3 linked regions of the Tamandua tetradactyla genome follow. The protein of the gene in region 1 interacts with the protein of each later gene in a pairwise test. Links are inferred from orthologs where the notes say so. Each region holds a gene or a part of one and is shown on either strand. Other genes may lie near its edges. The genes, in order: MAPKBP1, TEX11 and GLRX3.

Region 1 (7,924 bases):
AACGCCTATTCTGTCTTCATTGACAGGATTTGCTTGTGTTGTGAAACACTAACACAAGAGCTTCCAGTGCCTGGGCTGTGCCTAGGCGATAACTACTTCTTCTGCATAACCCTGCCTTCTCTATCCCAAATCCTATTCAGCATATCTTCAGACCTAGGTTGTGAGACCAACTTTGGAATGGTTCTAGCCAGAGAATTATTACTTTCCATGGTTGGTTCCTTTTGTATTAATAATCAACAAACTGCAAAGAATGGAAAAACTGCTTCCGCCACAAATTCAATGGGAGCAAATTTCTTTTGGTTTTGTGCTACTGCCTTCTTAGACCTACTTGTTAGCACTTAACCTTCCCTCCTCTGAAAGTTACACAAGAACCTTGAAGTAGGCAAAGAGCACCCCTTAGCTTCTCATTAATCCTCACACTCCTCTTTACCAAGCAGATTTCATTCAATGCCTTAGTCAAGGAGTCCAGCATCTGCTTCCCCACTAATAATTGTCCTTGGAGGTTCCAGTACTTCAATCCAGGTATAGCAGTTTTCATTATTTCCTTGCTTGTCCCTTTCCCACATTTCCTCCTGACTTCTGAATACTCTTGTGGCTTTTGAAGGTCAACGAAGGAAGCAGGCAAGTGAGCAAACAATCCTCAGGAAAAGAAGGACTATTTTATTTTAGCTACTGAGTACTGCTCCCTTTTTAGAATAAAATAGATATGTAATAATCTCTTCTCAGCTGGAGGATATTTGATTCTGTTTATGAGGTGTATGAAGAAGGAAATGAGGGATTCCAGGTGTTCAGGGAAAGCTGCATTATAAGCTCCCAAGTTACGGTGTTCTCAAGACTGTTTAGGGAGTCATCAGGGACAATTTGAAGAGGACTCCATTTTCAGAACAATCCTGCAGTCTTTACAGAAATCTAAAATCTTCCCACAACTCTTACCTTTTAACTTTTGCCCCAGGAGAAACTGATCTATGAAAATTACATGTGTGATTATGAAAGATGTAGTTGAGTGAAAGGACTTAAGGAATCTGGAGGACAGTGACTCTCACCCTAACTCTGTAAGAAGCATGATCTCATTAGACCAATAATTCGCCTTTTTATACATCTGTAAATAAATGGAATGTTTTTAAGAATATAATTATGTCAGATTTAGCCTTTTCTTTTATATATTAAATATATATCTTTCTTTTTCTGCTTTTGAAAAGTGACTATTTTTTTAGAAACCTAAGAACAGGAGAAGTTTGATGACTGAAAGGCAGAATGTTTAAATCTGAAATAAATCAGTTATAATAATTAAAGCAGGACTTGGTGTTGGAAGGTTTGTGCTAAATTGGAACAGAGAATCCTAATGCCCTGAGGCAGATTTAAGAGAGGTGCCAGAGAAGTAGTTTCATCATAGGAATTCCTTTCTGTTCTCAAAGTTTTGGCTTGCCATTTGGGAAGGTTTTTGTTTTTCTAATCCATATAGCATGTTTTCTATGGAGACTCCAAAATTTTATACATCTTGATATCAAGTATGTCTCAATAAGTCTTTGTTCTATAGTGAACAAAGGCTTGCCTCATAGTACCAATGTGTGCAGGGCAATATACCTGTTACCCTGGGGAAAAACAGGGGACATGGTCACAATCTTAGTGCTAAGGGCAATAAGTTAGTTTCTTAAGGGAAGATCTAAGTTAACTAGCATCACAAATGACAGAGTTTTATTAAAGGAGTCCTTTATACATTGAGCTACTCTAATCTATTTAAGGCCACTAACAGATCAAGTTCAGTTATATGAACTTCTTGCAAATTTTTCACTTTGTATAATTTTAGAATAAATGCAGTAGTTTTTTTTTTTCCCCCAAAACTATGGATGAAGTAGCTGATACTAGGCCTTTCTGTACCAAGATTGAGAATGTTCTGAATATAGAAGAGAGGTGGACAATTCATATATTACTTTGGGCAAGTTTTAGTATTATAGATACATATTTTTTCTTACTCCACTGGTTGAGGTATTTGAAATGGAAGTGAGATGAGGTGAATTTGAGAGGTAAACAGAAGACATCTAAAAATTAGTGGTAACTCTCACCCCTCATTCCCAGAAGTTAAAAAACAAACACAAAAAGTGCACAGTACAGTACATTTTTAGGTACCTTTACAGAGAGTGATTGATAATCAAGAATCAATACATTTCTTGCCCAAAATTGTCCATTTTGAAGAAAGTGCTATAAAGGGCATCAATACTTCCATGTTATTGTTATTATCTCTAATGAGATTTTACATGGGCCTGAGTGGCTGGGTGCAAAGAAATTTTAAGCTGAGGTATTCAGAGTCACTGCCCTTTGGAAAAAAATTAGTCAAATAAGAATGCATATTTGAAGTTAAGTTAGAGGGAAATAATTGGATATATATATAACTTTTTAGTGGCATAACTAGTATATATTAAATATGAGTAAACTGCTCTACAAAGGCACATCAGTGTTGAAAAATGATGATGGAGGTGTGTGTGAGGAGTGGGAAGATGGAACCATGGGGTAAGTGGTGAATTTTGAGCTTTCAAATTTAAGCTCTACTAAATCCTTCTATTTTTGTAAACTCTGCTGTTAGAAGAGATTTTGTTAAATAGGAAAGCAGTCTTGGAAGCATTGTTTTGTGATCCATCGTGTTTCCAACTGCAAACATTGGGTTCAGTTGTCGCACAGTGCCTTGCATGTAAAGGTGCTCAGTAAATATTTGGATTGATGAGCAGATAATTACTCTAGCCTGCCAAGTTTTCCAGGATTTTATAACTGCACCTTGTTTGCATGTTAAGGATCAATTTTTAAATATGATCTAATGAGCATAATGCTAAATAGAAACTGTATACATCTATTCCCAGACATCTAGAACTTTAGAATGTGACAAACACCATGTATACATGTTTAGGACATGTACAAGCAGAATAAAAAGTGAAATAGCTTATGGATGCTGAAATACTTATGTCAAGGTCAATCGCATTTTGAAGGATGGAGTGGCAAGTACTTATTTGAGTGGAGAAAAGGAAATCCTTCTACTCACATTGGACCTGGGACTATATTTTCTGAGTAATCAATTCATGAAGCATGGACACAGCCAATTACCATGTTGGCACTTCAAAAGCTGCATGATACCTAGACAATAAAAATTGGACTGAACTTGTGAAGAATTAAGTGTGTGGTTTGGCCCTAGACTGGAAGTAACCAGATGCCAGACTTATGAAATCCCCTCATTACCCTGTTCTTAGTTGTTTTTCACCTAGATCATCAAGGAAGGCAGGAACTTGGATTTGGCTCAGCAGCTTCACCTCAGATGAGGATAATTTGGGGAACATTTTCTCAGAATAAATCAGGGTACCTTTGGCCAGGAAATAACTAATAGCATGTAAATCCATTTACCTGGTCATGCATGAGTAAGTGAGACACCTAGTAGGCACAAAAACGATTGAGAAAGGATTAATAAGACACATTTTTGTTTCATGTGCGAAACTGGTATATGCTGGGGTCTGCAGCACACAAAGACACAAGGTACCGCCATTCTTGAGCAGTGTTATGTTGGTTTCTGTGCCCATGGAGAATGGAAACTAGCAAGGAATTTCAGGACAAACTCCCTATTTCAAATTGTTGTAGACTCTTGTTTCTTCCTCCCAGATATCAGAAGTAATTTCTGAAATCTGATTTATATTTAATTACATTTGCAGTGCATGGTTGAAGGGAAGGAAGCCCCATGTCCGGTGACTCTTGCTAATTGGTCTTCTAGGAGATGATCCTGTTCTGTGTCAACCTGTGAGGTTTACGTACCTCGTTTTTAACACATTACAGTACGTATAAATACATGCCTGCTTGGCCACTTGGTTGTACAAAGCCGACTCCACACAGCTATGGGCTTAAGATCCCTCCCCCTCTTGACAGGTCATCTCTCCCGGGGATCCCAAGGATCTGGAGTGGGTGAGACAAGCACATCAGTGTTCTATTCTGGGACCTGGGTCTTTTGGCTTAGGCTACCCTTTTCGTAAAGCAGCTTGTTGAAGTAGCAACAAAGTGGAAAATCCTGGGGCTCTTAATGGCATAAACTGTTAGGCTGAGACACCTATGAGATATGAATACATAAAGGTGTCCCCTTACCCCCACCAATGAGCTAGAAAAACTACCATTAAATCTAGTGCCAGTTCACCATGTAACGGTTCTCGGAAAGAGATTTCACGAGGAAATTTTAACAGGAGCAAGGAAAAGATCCGGAGCCACAAAATCCTGGTTAACTGCGTGGGAGCGTGGTGGGACGTGGACGCTGAAGGAATCTTGAAACAAACCTATAGGCACGTTTACTTGAAGCCCCGCCCCTGCTCCATCATGCCCAGATTGCCCAATGCAAATCGCCGTAATTAGCCGTTTAAGCGGTTACTCGGAAGAGTCATTTCCATGTGGGTCGATGCACGAATTCCTACGCTAGCAGAAAGTATTGTGACCACTTTAAATCCTGACATTTGGGATTGGCAGTGAGAGCAGAGGCTACAACTATACCTCATTCTGAGGAGTTAGCCTCACCTCTGGTCCCTCGAGCCTATTAACTGCCCACGTTAGTACTTTGGGAACGTGATTACCGTCTTGGGACTCTGGGAAGTGCAAGTTTCCTACGGGGGACCAGATTTGATAATACCTTAAAAGGTGTGGTTCTCTTAATTCTGAAGCCATGTTATGATGACTTCCGTCTGAAAGCGGTACCCACGGTTACACTGTCCGGAATCCGTGGTTCTCGCGTCCCAAGTCTTCCATTCTATGCCCTTTCATTGGCTCCGCCCCCATAAACCTTGCGCGTCCAGTCTGGAGACGCCCTCCCGGATACAAGCGCTCCCCCTCGCCGTGGCTCCGCCTACCCAACCGGTAGCTTGGCCCAGGCAGTAGTTCGCGTTTTGAGCCGCTCGTGCCGCCATAGCTGCTGTTGGGGCTCCCGCAGCGGAGCTGAAATCGCTGAGCGCTATGCCTGAGGGCGCTGTGAGCCGGGAGGCCCTCGCGCCCGGGGTCTGGTGAGGCTGGGCCCGAGTGGGGGCGCTGATGAGTAGCAGGGGCTTCTGAGGGGGATGAAAGAGAAAGGTCCAGGTTCCGGGTGGAGGACCGAGAGCAAACTCCGGAGGGTCGGGGGAGGAGGAGGGAGGCTCCAGTGGCAAAAGGGGTTGCTGGGCCAGGGCGAGCTCTGCCGAGTTCCCCGTGGCTGCCAGCGCAGGTGCCTAGAATTCCTTACGGAACTCCTCAGTGGCCTCGGTAGCCTCCCACGGCACCGTAGTTGTCATGGAAACAGTTGGGAATTAACGGGGACCATATCAGTCAGAGCCCTGCTCGGGCCCGTCCCACCAGTTAAAAAGCCTCTGGCATGCATGGGCCTGGCATTTCTTCGTGGCTCAGGATTCCTCACCCACCCCGTTTTTACATGGGTCTACCCTCCCCACATTATAAGAAACCGCACCAGGCTTTGGAGCGGGGATGAGCTTGATATAGAGGAAAGAAGATGGTAATACCGAGAGGTAAGAGCTACAGACACAGTTAAGCAGAAGGTAAGACACCTACTCTGATGCTGAGGTGGCCTTTACCATCTCAGGTCATTGAGAGGTCGTATTGGAAGGCCCTGCGAAGTGGGAAGGCTGAGCTGCTGTTGAGACAGGTCCTAAGACTAGGCAAGGGACTGTCCCAAAGGGTTTCTCATCATGATGGCTGTGGAAGGGTCAACCATTACCAGCCGGATTAAGAACCTGTTGCGATCGCCATCCATCAAACTACGCAGGAGTAAGGCAGGAAACCGGCGAGAGGACCTCAGCTCCAAGGTGAGTCCTAGTACTGGGAGCCATTCCTTTTCAACCCTCCCCTCCCCTGCACCCTTTTCCTCTTTCACCTTCGTTTTCCATATAGGCGCTAAAGGATTAAATATGCCTCTCAAGTAGGCATTAAGTTTTAGGTTGGAGGAAAAGACTATGTTGAGACTCATTCGTGAGAACAGGTGAATAGGAGGAAGGCATACTGGATTCAGTCATGGCCTCCTACAAACTTTGTGCTTGGGGAAGCCGATTGATAATGCTATGACTTGGTTTCCTTTCTTGGAAAAGGAAGGATTCATACCCTGTTAAGGACTAAGTTGTAACTAATGCAAGCTGCAGGTGTGTCACAGCTGAGTTATGTAAGCGTTGTAGTAGTAGAAAGAAATATATTAAAACGCCTAGTCCAAGGAATTAACTTGTTAAATGCTCTTGGCTGGGGTCAAAATAATTCATGTGCCTAATTTTAAGAGGCCTAAATTGATTTAACTGGAGATTCTTGGCTTTTTAGGAATGGTATCATGCAAGTAGCCATATGTCTGCTAGCAAAAGTTTGCCATTGAACATTGCTTATTTTATTCACTCAATGACAAGAGCCAGTTCCTACCTGGCTAAGAAGTTCCTCAGAGGCCAAGTCCATTTCCATCTCTTCATTTGTCTGGGCTTTGGTCCTTATGATTTTTTTCAACTTTGTTTTTCAACTTTGGGAATTCCGAAGTGGACTAAATTTGTTTATTCCCTGAGGGAACCCAGGGCTTTGTTCCACAGGATCAGATTAGATTTATGTGTCTTATTAGCAGCCTGTAAACACAATAGCCTTGTGTGATAAAGGATTGCTACAGGGAGAGGCATTTGAGACAGCAGCATTTTATTGCCTTGCTTGTGTCTCTTCAGAGATGACTAAACCCCATAAGGAATGATTTAAAGTGCTAATGTTCAACATGACAAGGTTTTGGGAGGACTTAGATTCCTGTCCCTTAGCAGAACCTTAATTGGATTTGGTCAGAAGGTGAACAACTTTACTGTAATATTTCAGCAGAGATTGTACTGAATCAAAATTGGTCATAGGGTTCCATATTGGTAGATAGTGATCCTTCCAAGAACTCATTAATCCTTATTCATTATTTTAGTTTGCAAGAGCTACCAGAATATAATATACCAGAGATGGATTGGCTCCTAATAAGGAGATTTTATTTAGTTACAAGTTTACAGTTCCTCCAAGGAAAGGCAGCTTGCTTTTATCTGAATTTGTCTGTCACATGGGAAGGCACACAGCCATGTCAGCTGGCCTTCTCTCCTGGCTTCTGGAGTCCAGTGGCTTTCCCTGGGGTGTGTCCTTTGGGCATCTTCAAACATCTAGGTCTGAGCTGCTCTGAGCTCCCTGCGCTTCTGACCTCTCTTTTTTAAGCCTCCAGCTAATTAAATTGTCATTCATTGCTGAAGGCACTCCCCTTAACCATTCATAGATGGGCCATGTATGAATTTCACATGCTGATGATTTAAGTCCATAGCAACAGAACAACTGGGCAGCACCACCTGGCCAATTTAACACTTGAACCTAACTACTCATTTTAGAATGAGTCTGAAGTTTAGAAACTCTCTTATGTTTGCCTGTGTTGACTCTTTGTTGGTTTGAATCATTCTTAGTAATATAAACTCATATTTTTGGCTTGTAACTTGGCAATGACCAGTACTATTAGAGCAATCTTCCCAAATCTTGGCCTCTTTTGGTAGCCAAGAATGGTATAGGTAGTAGATTTGTATCGTGGAAGCTTAGTCTTCAAATAGTGTTAGTACTTATTGTAATTTTGGTCTGATATCAGGAAGGTACAGTTGCCATTTTTTTAGAACTTCCCATGTCATTTCTTGTTAATGTATTCAAACAATGCTTACTGAGTGTTTATCATGCCTGTAATTAGGGATGAATAAAGCATTGACCTTGCCATCAAAGAAAGAGCTTATGGCTAGTCAGACATGTAAAGAGATCATTACAATGTGGTATATGAAAAGTGTTGTTCTAGATGTATGCATACAGTGTTAATGAAAGCACAGAAGGGAACCTAAGTTAGCTAAGAGAAACTAGGAAAGACTTCACATAGGAAGGGATGCTTGAATTGTGAGCCCTAGGCAGA
Region 2 (7,703 bases), on another chromosome or scaffold:
AAAGATCTCCAAGATACACTATTGAATAGAAACAAAATAAAATGAAGTTCAAACCCTAAGATGCAGAACATTTGTGTGAAAGAACAAAAGATTTGTGTGAAAGAACAAAAGAGAAGGATGTATTTATACATTAAATATTTTTTCTAGAAAAATATATGAGGAACTGTTAACCTCTGATTTCTTTGATGTACTTTTTTCAGTTTTTTAACCAGGTACAATCATTTTGCTTTCATTCCGTACAATCATTTTGCTTTCATTCCTTTTATAATACTCATAAAAAAGATTGGGGAACATTGACATTTAAGGTACAGATAGAGGAGGAGGACTCTGTGAAGAGATAGAGGCCACTTGAGGAAGAGATAGAGGAACCACTGTGTGGATGTCTAGGGAGGAAAGAACTTTTCAGGAATAGTCAAAAATGTAAAATGTTGCCTAGATACCCAGGTTGAGTAAGGTAAGGCCTGAAAATGGTTGATTGGTTTTATCTTTTAGGAGGTAATTGATGATCACTTCAAGAGCTGTTTTGATCAGGTGGTGGGGTGGAAGCCAATTGTAGTGGGTTGAGTGATTGTAGGGTGAGGAAAAGAATACAGGAGCTATAGGCTAGCATTTGGGGGCAGTAGCTGGAGGGAATGAGGGGAGAACTTTTGGATTGTTGTCTTAAGAGGTATGGATGGGGTACTATGAGAATTCACAGAAGGGAGGTCTGGAAAGGCTTCATGGATATTGAGGCTTTTAAGCAGAAGTTAAAGGGTAGGTAAAATGTGTTATTTCAGAAATGGGGAAGGGCATTCCAGAGGGAGGGAACATTTTATGCAAAAGCAAGAAGTTGGGAAAGCTTGTGATTCATTTTGCCTGGAGCCTAGGAATTTGAAGGAGTGAAGTGGAAAAAGAAGGCAGGAAAGTTAGTCTGGGGTCAGACTCTTGAAGGCGATTAATTCTAAGGCCTGAACTGAAGTGTGTAGATAAGTGTTATAAAATTGAAGAAGGGAGGGAGTGGTTCTGTGGTTTGACTCAATGAATTCCACCTCGATTACCCACTCACATGATCATACCCTAGATCTTGCCATCACCAGAATGTGCATCTCTGAAATCAATAATTTAAACATCAAGTTCTCTGTCCACAACTCTCCTAGATTTCCCAGCTCACTTCCTCAAGTGGCCTCAATAATCATCCAATTCACTGACCTCCTTCCCACACACTTTCTTTCTTTTCCTCACTCTACTCCAATCTTTACTTGCTCCCTTTCCTACATAAATTACTGAATTTATTATCATTATCGTCACTCGTTTGCAAATATCCTCAATCCCTAGGTAGCACTCCAGAGTTCCTCTGGAGGAATCCAAACATCTTCTTCATTCTTTCACCTGTGCAGTTCAGGAATGTCAGAGGAAATCACACAACTGGGCAAGCTAACTAACTGGGCAGCAAACTGGGCATTAACCTCAACTAGATGCTCAACACTCTGAAATAACGATTTCTTACCTCTTTCACACTCCCCACAGTTCTCCTTCCTACTCTCTATTGACTTTGCTCGTAGTTTGTTGAGAAAATTACATACCCATCAGATAAAAACTCCCTCATCTTCCTGTGTTTTTTTTTTAAATGAAAATAGCTTTCCTCAAGATAAAAATGTGTTTATTATAGAAAATTAAAAAACACTGGATAATATAAAGAAGAAAGTAAAAGTTCTTCAGAATCCCACCATCCAAAAACAAACATTCTTAACATTTTGTTAAATATCTTTCCAGACAATTTTTGTTCACGTATGCCTAAGATTTGCATACGTATTACATACCTTCTCTGTAATTTTTTTTCCTTTTTAAACTCAACAGTATGATATAAGCGTTTTCCCAGTTTTATAAGTACAGGTTATTTTCACAATAATGTTTTAAAGACTGTATAGTATTCCATTGTATGGCCCCAACGTACCATAAGTTGCGTAACTAGTGCACTACTGGTGAACATTGAAGTGGTTTACAATGATTCAGTGAATGTTTCCTTAATATGTTTTAGCACATTTTCCCAATTTCCTCTTTAGGAAAATTCCTAGAAGAGAAATTCTTGAGTGATGAGATAAACACATTTAAAATTTGATACACATGGCCAAACTTCCCTCCAGAAAAGTTGCAATAATGTATGCTTCTATCAGCAGTGTCCAAGAGTGTTTGTTATGTGTATCTTGCCAACTTGAGATTTTTGCTCATCTTTTTAATCTTTGCCAATCTGATAGATGAAAAACTTACCTTGCTTTAATTTGCATTCTATGATTACAGATGAGGTCAAACATCTTTCATGTGTTTATTGGTTATTTGTCTCTTCCTGTGTGAATTGTTGAGCGTATTCTTTACTCATTTATTTACTTGGAGTATTTGTCTTTTTTCTTAAGAGCTATTTTTGTGTTAGAAATATTAACTATCTGTGATATATATTGAAAAAATTTTTCTGGGCTGTGGTTTGTCTTTCAACCCTGTTTATAGAGTCATGCAGAAGATTTAAAGCTTTATGTAGTAAAACATCATCATTTTTCCTTTTTTGATTCTGGTTTTCAGATCATGTTCAGATATTGCCATTGTCATCTTTATAAAATATTTGCTCTTATTTTCTTTAAGGAATTTTATGATTTCATTTTGATCTTTGATAAATCTAGAATTTATTTTGGTGTATGAAATAAAGTAGGAATCTATTTTTTTTTTTTACAAATTACTATCCAGTTATTCCTTTCAATGCTCTTGAATAATCCATTTCCCCCCCGATTTGAATCATTTCTGTGTGTGTGTGTTTGTTTTACATATCTGTTTCTAGACTCTATTCTTTTCCATTTTAGTGTAGTTTTAACATCTGATGGAAAAAGCCCCTTCTCCCTTACTCCATTAATACTTCTGTTTTAGAATTTTCTGATGATTATTCTATAATTTCATGTTTATTCTGAAGGTGTTTTTCTTCTTCTAACAAAGTGTAATACACCTTATTACCCAATTTGCATTCCTGGCTGCTTACTTTCTTTTAATCCACTGTATTAATGAGAGTCTTAATAGGATCTCATTAGAGTCCAAGTTGTTCACCTGCCTTATGCACTATATACATTTCACCATTTCTGTATCAATTTTTTACAGGGAGGGGCAGAACATTTATAGTTGATGCTAGGGTAGGGAAGATAATGCACAGCATGTTGAGTGACACTTAGTGGTGTTTTATTATTCACCCTTGTATATGCTCCTCAATATGCACCTGCTTCTTTTCTTTCCCCTCCGGTCTCCTCCCTAGTACTTCCTTGCTCACTCTCCCGCCCCTCTTTTTTAGTTTATTCTCTCTCTTTTAATCCTCACTTGGCTTTTAATGTCTAGGAAGGTCATTTGGATCAAAAACAAGAAATTGAAGATGCCCATTCAATGTAAAGGCTTTCACCCTTTCTATGTATTTTCCTTGATTCACTGATTGTTTCAGTGCACTGGTGTCCGCTCTGTAGTCCTGACTTTGGGGTCATATTAGTGATGAGCATTATTCAATAGAGTCATGTGATTCCTGTATGCTTTACATAATCTTTAATAAGATAATCTTCACTCTACTATGAGCATTACTAATCACTAAGAGGTCTGCGATTTATGTGAAAGGGCCACTGTAGACTTGAGAGATGAGGTCTCATTATCACTTTTTTTGTTCATCTTATTGATCCATGAACAAATAAGTCATGGTGCTGGAAGTAGAGGCCTGAGTGGGATGATGGGAATTGGGAGTCCTTAGTATGCCAACGAGGTTAGGGTGAATGATAATGGAAACTGACATTTGCCATGTGCCTACAATATGCTAGCCACTGTTCTAGATGCTTTATGTACAGTATTTCATTGAACCAGAAGGCTAGAAATAATTACTTTTATTCCCATTTTACAGAAGAGGAAATCAAGGCACTAGTATATGTTGTATGGGAATTCTGTCAACTATGGGATAATCTACTGCCCCTTTCATCAGACTTCTTTCCCTAATTTAGTGATCTACACTTATGAAATGAGGACATATTAAATTGGAGGATGCAAAAGAAGAGAAGTTAATAGCAATACTTTCTCAGTTTTCCTGTTTCTCTTCACTGTACTATATGATCCAGATGGAGAAAATTTTGAATAGGGGAAAAACTATTTTTAGAGCCCTTCATTACTTTCTGTGATATATAAGGACTGACTCCAAGACTTTCAGGGTCAGGAGGGAACTCTATCCATGTTCCCAGAATGGAAGCCACAATTTCTCTTGTTCATCCTGCCAGCCATTTCTACATCTGGACTGAGATGCACAAGGTTTCAAAGAGGGTGTGTGAAGGAAGAAGTAGGAGACTTGTTAATGTTTTGATTGTGGATTATTTTCCAAATCTGGAGGCAATCATGCCTTAACACATTCAGCATCTGCTGTCTCTGGGTGGAGGTTTCAGAACAGTTCAATTTCTTGTCTGCAAACATTACCACAAGTTTAGCTGGAATCAAACATGTTTACCTATATATCCCACCCTCACCCCCAAAACCATTTGTCTGAAGATAGACGGAACATATGATCTTACTGTGAGCATGCAAGGGTGGGAGATGGGGGGCATTAGGTAGTTTCCTTCAGATTTGGCCAGGGCAGGGCAACAGAAACATGTCTTGGAACTATAGGATTTTTCAGTCTCCTCAATTTCTGACCTTTGCCATTCTTCAATAATCAGAGGGAAACATACTTTTTCACCCACCTGCCCCCAGTCCAAAGGTCTGCTCTCATCTTTCCTGTAATCCCTGTCCTCTGCATTCTTCTCTCAATTGATTGCAGTATATTTCTTATATCATCATACTTGCTTGCTCTCAGTGATTCTCACCCTAGATTTCTGAACTACATCCCTAGGGCCTAAGGTCTAGACTGCGCCCCAAGGCACAGATTCTGTGATACAGGGCAGCGCCTGTTGGGCGAGGCAGTTGATTGCGTCACTACGAGGGGAGGAGCTTTGTGAGCGTCATCTTGTGGTGTGGAAGGAGCCTGAAGAGAAGACAACTTGGCGTTGTCGGGTCCTCGGTGAGGTGAGTGTTTTAGTGGGGAGGACGGGCTAGAGGAGGATTCAGGCACAGGCTAGTTGAGTGGTTTGTAACAGCAAGATGTGGCCACTATCCTAATACTTTTTTTTTTCGTGGGCAGGCACGGGAAACGAGCCCTCTGCCTGCTGAGCCACCGTGGCCCGCCCTATCCTAACACTTTTTAAAGAATGGCCCTGAGGCAATAACTTTGGCCTACTGAGCTTCTGAGGGCTGACTTTTAGGTGAAGGGAGAGGGGCAAAGTTAGTGTTTTTTCTGCCTTAGGATAGAGTTTGGGGAGCCGTGCTGGGCCACTGAAAGCGGGAAATAATAGTTATCGTAATTTGGATGTGACAGACTTAAAACCCCGTTGAAGCTAGATTCCGTTGAAGCTAGATTCCGTTGGACTGCGCGTTGGGGGTGGGGAGCTGAAGGCGCTCGCTGAGTCTTTGAGAGCGGGAAAAACAACGCTGAGTGATTGGATGGTTTGAATGTAAAGATGTAAATGGGCCGGCGATTTTGAACCAATTAGGAGGAGGCAATGAGAACCAGCCAGACCAATTACAGGGTACCCCTGAGCCCTGTTTCTCTCTTTACTAGGCAGCTTTATGGGAAGAAAATCGCTAGTCCTCTAGGGGGAGGTAAAATCTCCTCCTGGTCCCTTTTGAGTCACCCACCAGCCTGCCCCGCCCCTCATTAACTACATTTTCTAGGTTTTTAAATATCCTCAGCCGTTTTTCCCTTTGAATAGCTAGTAACAGGAAAAATTTGATTGTAAAGAAATTTATTGAGAAACTAGATGATAAAGGAAAGACTAAAATATTTTTTTTATTTCCTAGGCCTGAACCAGAGATTTTAAAATGGAGGCTGCTGATTTTCGCTTCATGGACTTTAAAGGTACGTAGTTTTACGTGGTCATAAAGAGAATGTCAAGTTGTTCGCTGCCTTATTTTAGGTCTTTTTTTTTTTCACATGGGCAGGCACCGGGAATATTTTAGATCTAAATGTTTTTTGTAACCAACTTTTATCTCTTTGGAGATATTTTTTTCCAGGTTTTCTCAATTATTTACCAGGAAAACAATGTAGGTGCTTGACATGGGGACCCTTTTATGTACTAGTTAGTGTAGGGAAAGAAAATTCGCAATTCATAACTTGTTTTTTCAGGATTTTTACGGTATGCAAAATAAAACTGGTTTAATCTGAACTTTATCAATAGAAATTATCTGTGTAAAAGTACATGTAGGTGACTATAAAGGATTAAAGATAGCTGCTTTTGAGGCAAAGGTGTCTATAAAAATATGAATGATGCAAGAACTTTACTTAAAATTAATGACTACCCCAATAATGAGGTGCTGAAAAACTGAGTACTAACTCTGGAAGAATGGCAAGTAAAGTGGGTTAGCTGCAATATTTTATTTCATCAAGAACAAGGACATCAGCTATTAGAGAGGCGTTTGGATACTTTACTTAATGGCAAGAGTGGACAAAGGATATTTTTCCCTCTTTATGGGAAAGCAGTTGAAATTAGATGGTTTGCAGACCAGAGACATAGCGTAGTTGGTGTGGAGATCAGTGAACTGGGGATTCAAGATTTTTTTGAATCAGTATTCAAATTGGTGAATTTGACACGATTTGGGATAGAAGAGCCTTAGTCACTGTTAATCCAGGTGATCGAGAATGTGATGTTAATATAATGTCCCTAACAAGAAAAGGGTTCCAGTATTTCATGTTTGGTTTCTAACGGTCCACCTAAACATAGAGGCCCACCATTTTATAATCCAGGCACTGAAATTAAAAGTTTGTTTGGCCCAAAATGCAAAATTCATTGTCTTGAGAAAGTTGATGCTATTGAAGAGTGTCATAAAAGTTGGGGAATTGACACTACATATTTGAAAAATTATATCTATTTGCAAACAAAATCTAGTACATCAACATGTTTTTGAGCATTGGAAAATCATGTTCAAGCAGGAAAATATAATGAATGACTAAAAAAATCATTTACCAATCACATCACAGATCTTTGTTCAAAACTATATACTTATTATTTTGAGAACGTACACAATTTTGATAGTTAATCAAATGGTATTTAAGATAGTGTTTAATATTTGGAATCTAAGAAACTCTGATATTTGTATCTATAGATTTTTCCTTCCTTGCTTTAATTTTAAATTGGCTTATGAAGACTCGTACAAACAGACTTTACAATCATTACTTAGATATTTTATTTAAATATGCATATGGATAAGCTAACTAAGATATCCATTTTAGGTGTTTAAAGTTTCATATGTTAATTATAAAAACATTTGTATCTTCATATTTTCCTGAAATCAGGAAAATGTTTAATAACATAGGTCATTACTGTTACAATGTAGATATTTGTAATAACTTTCTACTTGATATTTTTAAAACATTCACAGTTTTAACAACTGATCAAATGGTATTTAAGTTACTGTTTAATATTTAGAATTTAAGAACTTTGCTCTCTGGATTTGTAGATTTTTTCCTTGTCCCCTTAATCTTAAATTGGTTTATGAAACTTGGTGTGCAAACACAGGTTTTACAATGGTTATTTGAATACTTTATTTGAATATACCTATGGTTACACTAAGATATCCAGTTTCGGTGGTTCTAAGTGTATTGCTTGTGTTCTTAAAAATATTTTTAAAATGCTTAT
Region 3 (7,523 bases), on another chromosome or scaffold:
TAACATGCTGTGTGTGTGTGTTTGTATGTGTGTGAGAGAGAGAGAGAGAGGAAGAGAGAGAGAGGAAGAGAGAAGAGGAAGAGAGGACTGGACTCAACAGAGAATTAACAGCATGCGAGGTGGGGGTGGGTGCTGAGAAGAGCTGGAGGCCGAAACGCAGAGGCTCAGGGGTGGGTATGGGGGTGCATCCTGGCTCTGGCTCTGGGCAGTTTTCTGAGCAGGCAGTGAAAGTTTTGGTATCATCAACAGGAAATTGAATGCTAAAAGTGGCCACTTGTGTGCAAGGGCTTTGGATGGCCAAGAAAAGGACACTCTATAGCTGTATATATGCCTGGACATACCTGCAGATATGTATGTTCCTGGAAATACCCATTTATGCTCCTGCATATACACCTGTACGTACCTGTAGATACCTGTAACTCAGATTCAGCACTCTCCCCAAAACGTGGCTTGAGTTCAGTGCTGAGCTACTGAGTAGTCTTTGCTGCTGAAGTCAGAGCATTTTAGAGGGAACAGGCCATCTGCTGCCCCCTAGGCTTGCTGATCTCAATCATGATAACTGCAAGAAAGGGCAGGAGGGGGACTGGAAATGTTTTCCAGGCATTTTCTGGGGGCATTTTTGTTGAAGGGAGCATGCTCTGCAGCTAGCGTATACCACTTGCAGCAAATTCCATTTAAAGGAAAAATCAAGATTTATAAAACAGCCACATTAGGGGGGCAATTACTTGCGTTTTTTGAAAACTATTCACTATTGCACATTTCCCTGGTGTATTACAGTTTCATTATCTTAAAAAATTACAAAGCTAGTCCATGTTCTTTGAAAAATGCAAACGACACAAAAGTGTTTAATGTAAAAAGTAAAGGGCCATCCTTCAAACTCCCCAACTTCTAGTCTCTGGGGGCAAGTTCTAATATTTGGGGACACATCCTTCTGAAAGTTTTTTCTATGCTACACACACCTATCTTTACATATTTTGTCTACATATAATTCCATGTTTAAAAATGATTCTCAGATACACATACTATTTTACCATATGCTGTTCCCCCCTCCTATTGCATTTTTATAATAATCACTAAGGCTTTTATGTATTTTTTAAATTAAACATTTAGTTTTGAGATAATTGTAGATTCACAACTGGAGTTGTAAGAAGTAATGTGGAGTGACACTGTGTACACACAAAAGTTTTCCCCAGTGTAGCACTGTCTCACAGTCAGTGACATTGTAATGACATTGATACAATCTACCTATCTTATTCGGATGGCCTCAGTCCTGTTGATGTTCATTTGTGTGTGTGTGTTTAGTTCTACGCCATTTTATCACAGGTAGGCTTGTGTACCCACCTGGACTCCCACCTCTGTCCCACATTTTCAGTAATGTAATTTACCATTCTCAGTGGCATCTGCTTCTCAGAGTGAGGTGTGTCTGTAATGTGGCTCCTATAGGTTGCTTTTAAACCATTAGAGAAGCACTGTCCAACGAGAATAAAAAGTGATCTGCAAACGAAAGCCACCTATGTAATTTTAAATTTTCTAAGAATCTCATTAAAAAAAGTAAAAAGCAGCAGGTTTAGTTTATGTATTTTATGTAACCCAATATAGCGTTTCAACCCAATATTATCATTTCAACATGCCAACAATATAAAAAATATTAATGAGATATTTTGTGCTCTTTTTTGTGCATTTTATACTTACGGCACATTGAAATTCAGGCCAGCCACATACCAGCTCTCGGAGGCATGGAGCTGCCACAATGGATAGAGCCACACTGGACTGCACGGCTCTTAGCTGCCTGCTGTGAGTGCTTCTGTTTTTTTCCAGTTTACACACTCACAATTCTCTTTTCTGTCTGCCTCCTCTTCTGTTTTTTTTAAAGATTATGTATTGCTTTTTTAGAAAAATATTTTTATCAAGGTCAAGCCATGGAAAATATACAATCAATATCATCACATAGTTGTGTATTCATCATTGTGATCATTTTTAGAACATTTGCATCACTCCAGAAAGAGAAATAAAAAGAAAAAAGAAAAAAATCCATATATTCTGTACCCTTACCTCTCTTCATTGGGCGCTAGTATTGCAATCCATCCAATTTTTTTAACCTCTTATCTCCCCCATGATTTTTTTTTTCTCGCATGGGCAGGCACTGCCAGAGAACCCCGGTCTCTGGCACAGCAGGCTAGAACTCTGCCACTGAGCCACTGTTGCCCATTCTCTCCCCACCATTTTTATTTCTGTTTTGATCTTATTTTTTTGATCATCTGTCCATACCCTGGATAAAGGGAGTGTCAGCCACAAGGTTTTCACAATCACATGGATGCACTGTAAAAGCTTTATAGTTAAACAATCACGTTCAAGTATCAAGGCTGCTGGAATACAGTTCAACAGTCCTAGGTACTTCCCTCCAGCTACTCCAATACACCACAAACTAAAAAGGGATATGTATATAATGCATAAGAATACCCTCCAGGATAACCTCTCAGCTCTGTTTGAATTCTCTCAGCCACTGAAGTTTTATTTTGTGCCCACTTTTGGTCAAGAGGCTTTCTCAATCCCATGATGCTGGCTCATCCCGGGAGTTCTGTCCCACGTTGTCAGGGAGATTTACATCCCTGGGAGTCATGTTCCACTTAGAGGGGGGAGGGCAGTGAGTTCAACTGTGGAATTGGCTTAGAGAAGAGACCACATCTGAGCAACAAAAGAGGCTCTCTAGTTGTGACTCTTAGGCATAATTATTTGTAGGCTTAGCCTATCCTTTGCAGGAATAAGCTTCATAAGGTTGAGCCCCCAAATTAAATGCTCGGCCTGTTGAATTGGTTGTCCCTATTGTTAGTGAGAATGTCGGGAATTCCCCAGATGGGGAAGTTTAATATTTCCTCCTTTCTCCCCAGTCCCCCAAGGGGATTTGCAAATATTTTTTTATTTTCTGGCCAAAATAAACTCTGGTATGTATCAGAGCATCACACCAACCTGTACAAATCCTTCTGCCTCCTCTTAATTCTTCCAGATTAATTTTTTCTCTCCCACCCTGGAAAATGCTTTATGCTCAGTCCATATTTAAAAGGAAAATTTCTTTGTAAAAAGAATTTTGTATTCTGCTCCTCTCTCTCAAGGATACCTGTGCTCACCCTCCCAGGCCACCGAGAGATGTGCAGGGCAGCACGCAGGGGATTGGCACAGAAGTGGCAGAGCAGCACAAGGCCCCTGGGGCGAATTCCCTCTGCCAGCTCCTCCCAGCATGTGGCTCACCTGAGAGTGTGGCTTGTGGAGGCTGTCCCTGTCCACTCTCTGGGTTGTAATACTGCCGATGAGCCCTGCTCTCTGCCCCGTACTGACATCTACTGTGCTCTAGCCCAGGCATGGGATAAAGACAATTCCTGCCCTCAGTGGGAGCACTGGTGAAGGGGAGCACGTTCTTCACACAGGGAGCAGTAGGGACAGGTAGGGAAGGCTGTGTGGACACTTTCTCAAGGACGGTGCAGGAGGACTTTTAAGAGAAGCCCCAAATTCCTGGTGTAGCACCCCTTGCGATGGGAACTATGGGAGGAGAGTCTGGAGAAGATGAGGGCAGGAGAGAGCTCTGGACTTGCAGCCGAGCCTTCCCCAGACATTTAAGTCAGTAGGGGCACCGACAAGATGACCAGGTAGGAGAGAGTGTGGGGGAAGGCAAAGGACACCCTCAGAAGAGTCGACTTTAGGGGGATGCGAAGGAGAGCAAGGGTCGCCAGGGAAGGCCCGAGGCAAGAGGGGTCTGGGAGCTTGGGGGCCTGATTGGAGGTGCTAAGGGGGTCCTGGAAGCTAGGTTGGTGGAGTCCCAGGTCCTGCTGCTCTCTGGTCACAGTCCCTTTGGGTCCAGCTGGGAGTGTGTGTGTGTGTGTGTGAGGGGGGTGGAACGCGGTCTCCACGTAGGGTTCGTGGGAGGCGTCCTTTAGGTGAGGTTTGGAGACTGGGCAGCATTGTGTTCTCAGCCTTCCCAGTTCATGCCAATCTTTACGCTAAACTTTAAAGATTTCAGCTTGTAAGTGCACAGCCTGACTTCACGCACCTGCACACACAAATCCTTCCTCTGCCCTCGGGCCTGGTTTTCAAAGCTCGGAACCTGAAGCTGTAGGAGCTGCCAGCAGGAGGCTGGTGGGGTGAGGTCTTAAGCAGGTGGGACTCTCCAATCAATTAAGATTCCTGAGTCAGGACTCCCAGAGATCAGGAGTCAGGATCCCCGGGAGTCAGGACCTTCCCAGGGGTCAGGATCCCCGACAGTCTCGAGCACAGCGCGCGGATCTCGGCCGCTGGAACCCGGCTGGCTCTGGCTGTGCGCTGCAGGCCCGGCGGATCAGGTTTCGCAATAGCCCAGCCCCGCTGTGGGGGCGTGGCCGGGGAGGCGGAGCTTTGCCGGCGCGCGGCCGCCCCGCCCCGCCCCCGGCCCCGCCCCCATCGACCCGCCCGCGCTCGGTTGCTCCAGTCTGGCGGCGGCAGCATGGCGGCGGGGGCGGCCGAGGCGGCGGCGGCGGCGGCTGTGGTGGAGGTCGGTTCAGCCGGGCAGTTTGAGGAGCTGCTGCGCCTCAAAGCCAAGTAAGCGGGCCGCGAGAGGCAGGAGCTGGGCGCGGGCCGCGGGTACGGGCCGCGGGGCCGGCGGGCCTTGGGCACTGAGGGAGGAGAGCGGCCATGCCGGCGCCTTCACGCCCCGCTCGCCCGGGCGTCGGTCGGTTCCGCCCGGCCCCGCGGGCTCCCCGGGCTCCCCGGGCTCCCCGGGCTGTCCAGAGCTGCCAGGCCCGAGGCTTGGGCGTGCCCCGCTCTGGAGGGTGCGGCGGGGCCGAGAGGGTCGACCCCCGGCCCGGCCGGGCCCCCAGCGCGCTGGCCTGGCCGCCCCCGCCGGGCGCGGTGACTCAGCTTTCCCGAGGCGCTCGCTGCGGGCGGGGCCGGGGGCTGCGCGGAGACCCGGGCCCGGGGCGCGGCCGCCGCGCGAGGGACCCACCGGCGGGCTCGGCTCCTTTGTGCGCCGCCCGCCGGGTCCTGCCAACTCAAGTCTTTCTCTTTGGCACCGCGTTATAGTAGGGCTTGGCTTCCTTAGGGTGTTTAGCCTTTCTTTTAGAATTAGTGTTTAAAGTTTGTCACAGGCAGGCAGCGCTAGCATTTCCAAATTCGTCGTTGCCATAGACGGGGAATTCGTGTTTCAGGAGCTGCTTTTGTCAGTCGGTTCCGGGTTGGCGCACACGTGCTTCTTGCCCTTGAGAGTCCACAAAAGGAGATCCATCGGGATGCACAGAAAACGTTTTTCTGGAGTTAGACACTGAACCGTATGAGTGCTCACAGGTAAATGCTGACAGGTGTGCCCATGGGCGACCGTGGTAATGCACATCACACTGTAGTGTCCTCAAGGACAGCCTTCAGCTGTAAAGGTTAAGATGGGAACTTAGGTGGTCAGATCGCCTGTGGCATCCTCAGTTCAGCCCCCTTCATGGCTGGGTGACCCTAGGGTGGGCTTCACTTAAGCCTCAGTTTCCTCAACGGGAAAGTGGTTGAGAATTGTACCTCCCTCGTGGAGCTGTTGCCAGGATCAAATGAGATCAAGTAAAATGCTTAGTACTTGGCTTGGCATGCAGGAAGCACTCAATGAGTGAGTGGGAAGCCTGTTGTTTTTCAGTAGAGAGTAGCGTGCGTGCGTGGAATTCACTGGTGGTAAATGCTTTTTGACCTTAATACAGTAAAATTTTGCTGGCTGAGTTTGAGTCAGAGGCAAGTTGTATTTTGTGCTTTTATAATGGAGACTGCGATGAGATAGGGGAGTTGCCTTTGTTGAAAATGGGGAGGGGTGAAAGTTGCTCTGTTCTGGTTGACCACCCTTTACGGACAGGATGAAGTTCAAGACAGCTCTTTGGGCGTCTCAGGCTTACATTAGAAATTGTCAAACAGAAGGAAATGATGAAACCTGGATTCTAATTCAGCCAATACTTTTCTGCATACACACACACACACACACACACACACACACACACACACACACAATCTTAAGGCAGCAAATTATGGAGGACATGAGTGATGGCCTTTAGAAATGAACAGGGCTTGTGTGGACCTGCCTTTAATAAACATTTTGGACTTAACCATCATCTGAAATAAACTGTTTTGTTTGTTGTGTGCTTCACGTTTTTGTTTTTATGCTTCATATTTTAAAGTCTTTAAAATATACACGGGTAAAAGTTTACATGTAAAAACCAGTTAGATGTATTCTTGCTGCTTGTCTATACTTGAAATAACTGAAAGGACTATACTGCTTCCCATAGAGATTAGTTTAAATGAGTACCTGGGCAACTTGGCATAGGAGGGAGGAACAAATATCTGCTGTTTTTGTGAAAATGAAAGCATTTACAAATATTAAAGAGTACTTGTGGTAATGCAATCACTTAAAAAGCTTTAAAAAGCATACCTTCTCAATTTCAAATTTGGTATGAATTGACATTTTTTCTTTGCTTAAGTCATCTCAGCAGATGTTTATAATTTATGAAAACTCCAGCAGGTCTGTAGGATATTTATGTCCATTTGCTGAATAATTAATCAGAGCACCTGTAATCATAAAGAAATAACTATTGAGCAGTAGCTATTTTACTGATGAAGACTTGACATTATTAGCCAGGATTTGAACCTGGTCAGTCTTTCTCTGAATGTTTTCCTCAAACATTGCACTATGTATATTGAGTTATCAGTGAAGATGGAGAGAACACAGTTACAGATATCCTAAAGAGGACAACCCCATTTCAGGTTTATGTCCTTAAAATATTGGGCATTATGTACTTAATTGGAAAATGGAAATTTTAAGCATCTAAACATGAGAAAATCATAGATAGTTTAATGTGACAGTAGGCATTTCCATAGTGCTTTAATATTTTCAGAGTGCTTTTATATTTTTGTTTGATCTTCCCAGCAACCCAGGATATTAGGTATTCCTGTTTTACAGATGTAGAAGTTAAGAGAAGTTCAGTTACTGTTCGGTTACCTTAGTAGTGAAGCAACAGAAATTTGAATTCAAGTTGTATGTACTTTTTTCTTTTCCTTTTTTACATAGAATTAAATGCTATAAAGTATGGCAACCTACTTTAATTTTTAAAAATGTGATATGTGAGCATTTTCCCATGTCATTAAAAATTCTTTGATAACACAGTTTTTCTGTTGTATAGTATAACATACATAGAAAGCAAAGAAAAAAAAAGCAGTCGTTTTCAAAGCACTCTTCAACAAGTGGTTACAGGACAGATCCCAGAGTTTGTCATGGGCTACCATACGATCCTCTCAGATTTTTCCTTCTAGCTGCTCCAGAATATAGGAGGCTAGGGGGCTTAAATACTTTTTTCATCATCACAATCGACTTTTTTTTCCTTCTTTTTTTATGAAAAATAACATATATACAAAAAAGCTATAAATTTCAAAGCACAGCACCACAATTAGTTGTGGAACATATTTCAGACTTTGACATGGGTTATAATTTCACAATTTTAAGTTTTTAATTCTAGCTGCTCTAAAATATTGGAGACTAA

What was found.
Region 2: the proteins of MAPKBP1 (region 1) and TEX11 interact in binary tests that used the Homo sapiens proteins (3 or more experiments, as listed by UniProt). The two-hybrid records come from large-scale screens. The link is inferred for Tamandua tetradactyla from reciprocal best matches to the Homo sapiens genes MAPKBP1 and TEX11.
Region 3: the proteins of MAPKBP1 (region 1) and GLRX3 interact in binary tests that used the Homo sapiens proteins (3 or more experiments, as listed by UniProt). The two-hybrid records come from large-scale screens. The link is inferred for Tamandua tetradactyla from reciprocal best matches to the Homo sapiens genes MAPKBP1 and GLRX3.

What each region holds. Positions count from the first base shown.
Region 1 is NC_135340.1:55,454,727-55,462,650, forward strand, and holds the start of MAPKBP1 (mitogen-activated protein kinase-binding protein 1), read left to right. Parts: upstream 1-4,843; 5' UTR 4,844-5,012; intron 5,013-5,018; exon of another isoform or gene 5,019-5,507; intron 5,508-5,581; 5' UTR 5,582-5,687; coding exon 5,688-5,804; intron 5,805-7,924. UniProt on the Homo sapiens protein: Negative regulator of NOD2 function. It down-regulates NOD2-induced processes such as activation of NF-kappa-B signaling, IL8 secretion and antibacterial response. Involved in JNK signaling pathway.
Region 2 is NC_135353.1:100,742,388-100,750,090, forward strand, and holds the start of TEX11 (testis-expressed protein 11), read left to right. Parts: upstream 1-4,612; 5' UTR 4,613-5,037; intron 5,038-5,603; exon of another isoform or gene 5,604-5,670; intron 5,671-5,868; 5' UTR 5,869-5,889; coding exon 5,890-5,926; intron 5,927-6,124; exon of another isoform or gene 6,125-6,146; intron 6,147-6,394; exon of another isoform or gene 6,395-6,972; intron 6,973-7,703. UniProt on the Homo sapiens protein: Regulator of crossing-over during meiosis. Involved in initiation and/or maintenance of chromosome synapsis and formation of crossovers.
Region 3 is NC_135339.1:92,762,868-92,770,390, forward strand, and holds the start of GLRX3 (glutaredoxin-3), read left to right. Parts: upstream 1-4,458; 5' UTR 4,459-4,471; coding exon 4,472-4,566; intron 4,567-7,523. UniProt on the Homo sapiens protein: Together with BOLA2, acts as a cytosolic iron-sulfur (Fe-S) cluster assembly factor that facilitates [2Fe-2S] cluster insertion into a subset of cytosolic proteins.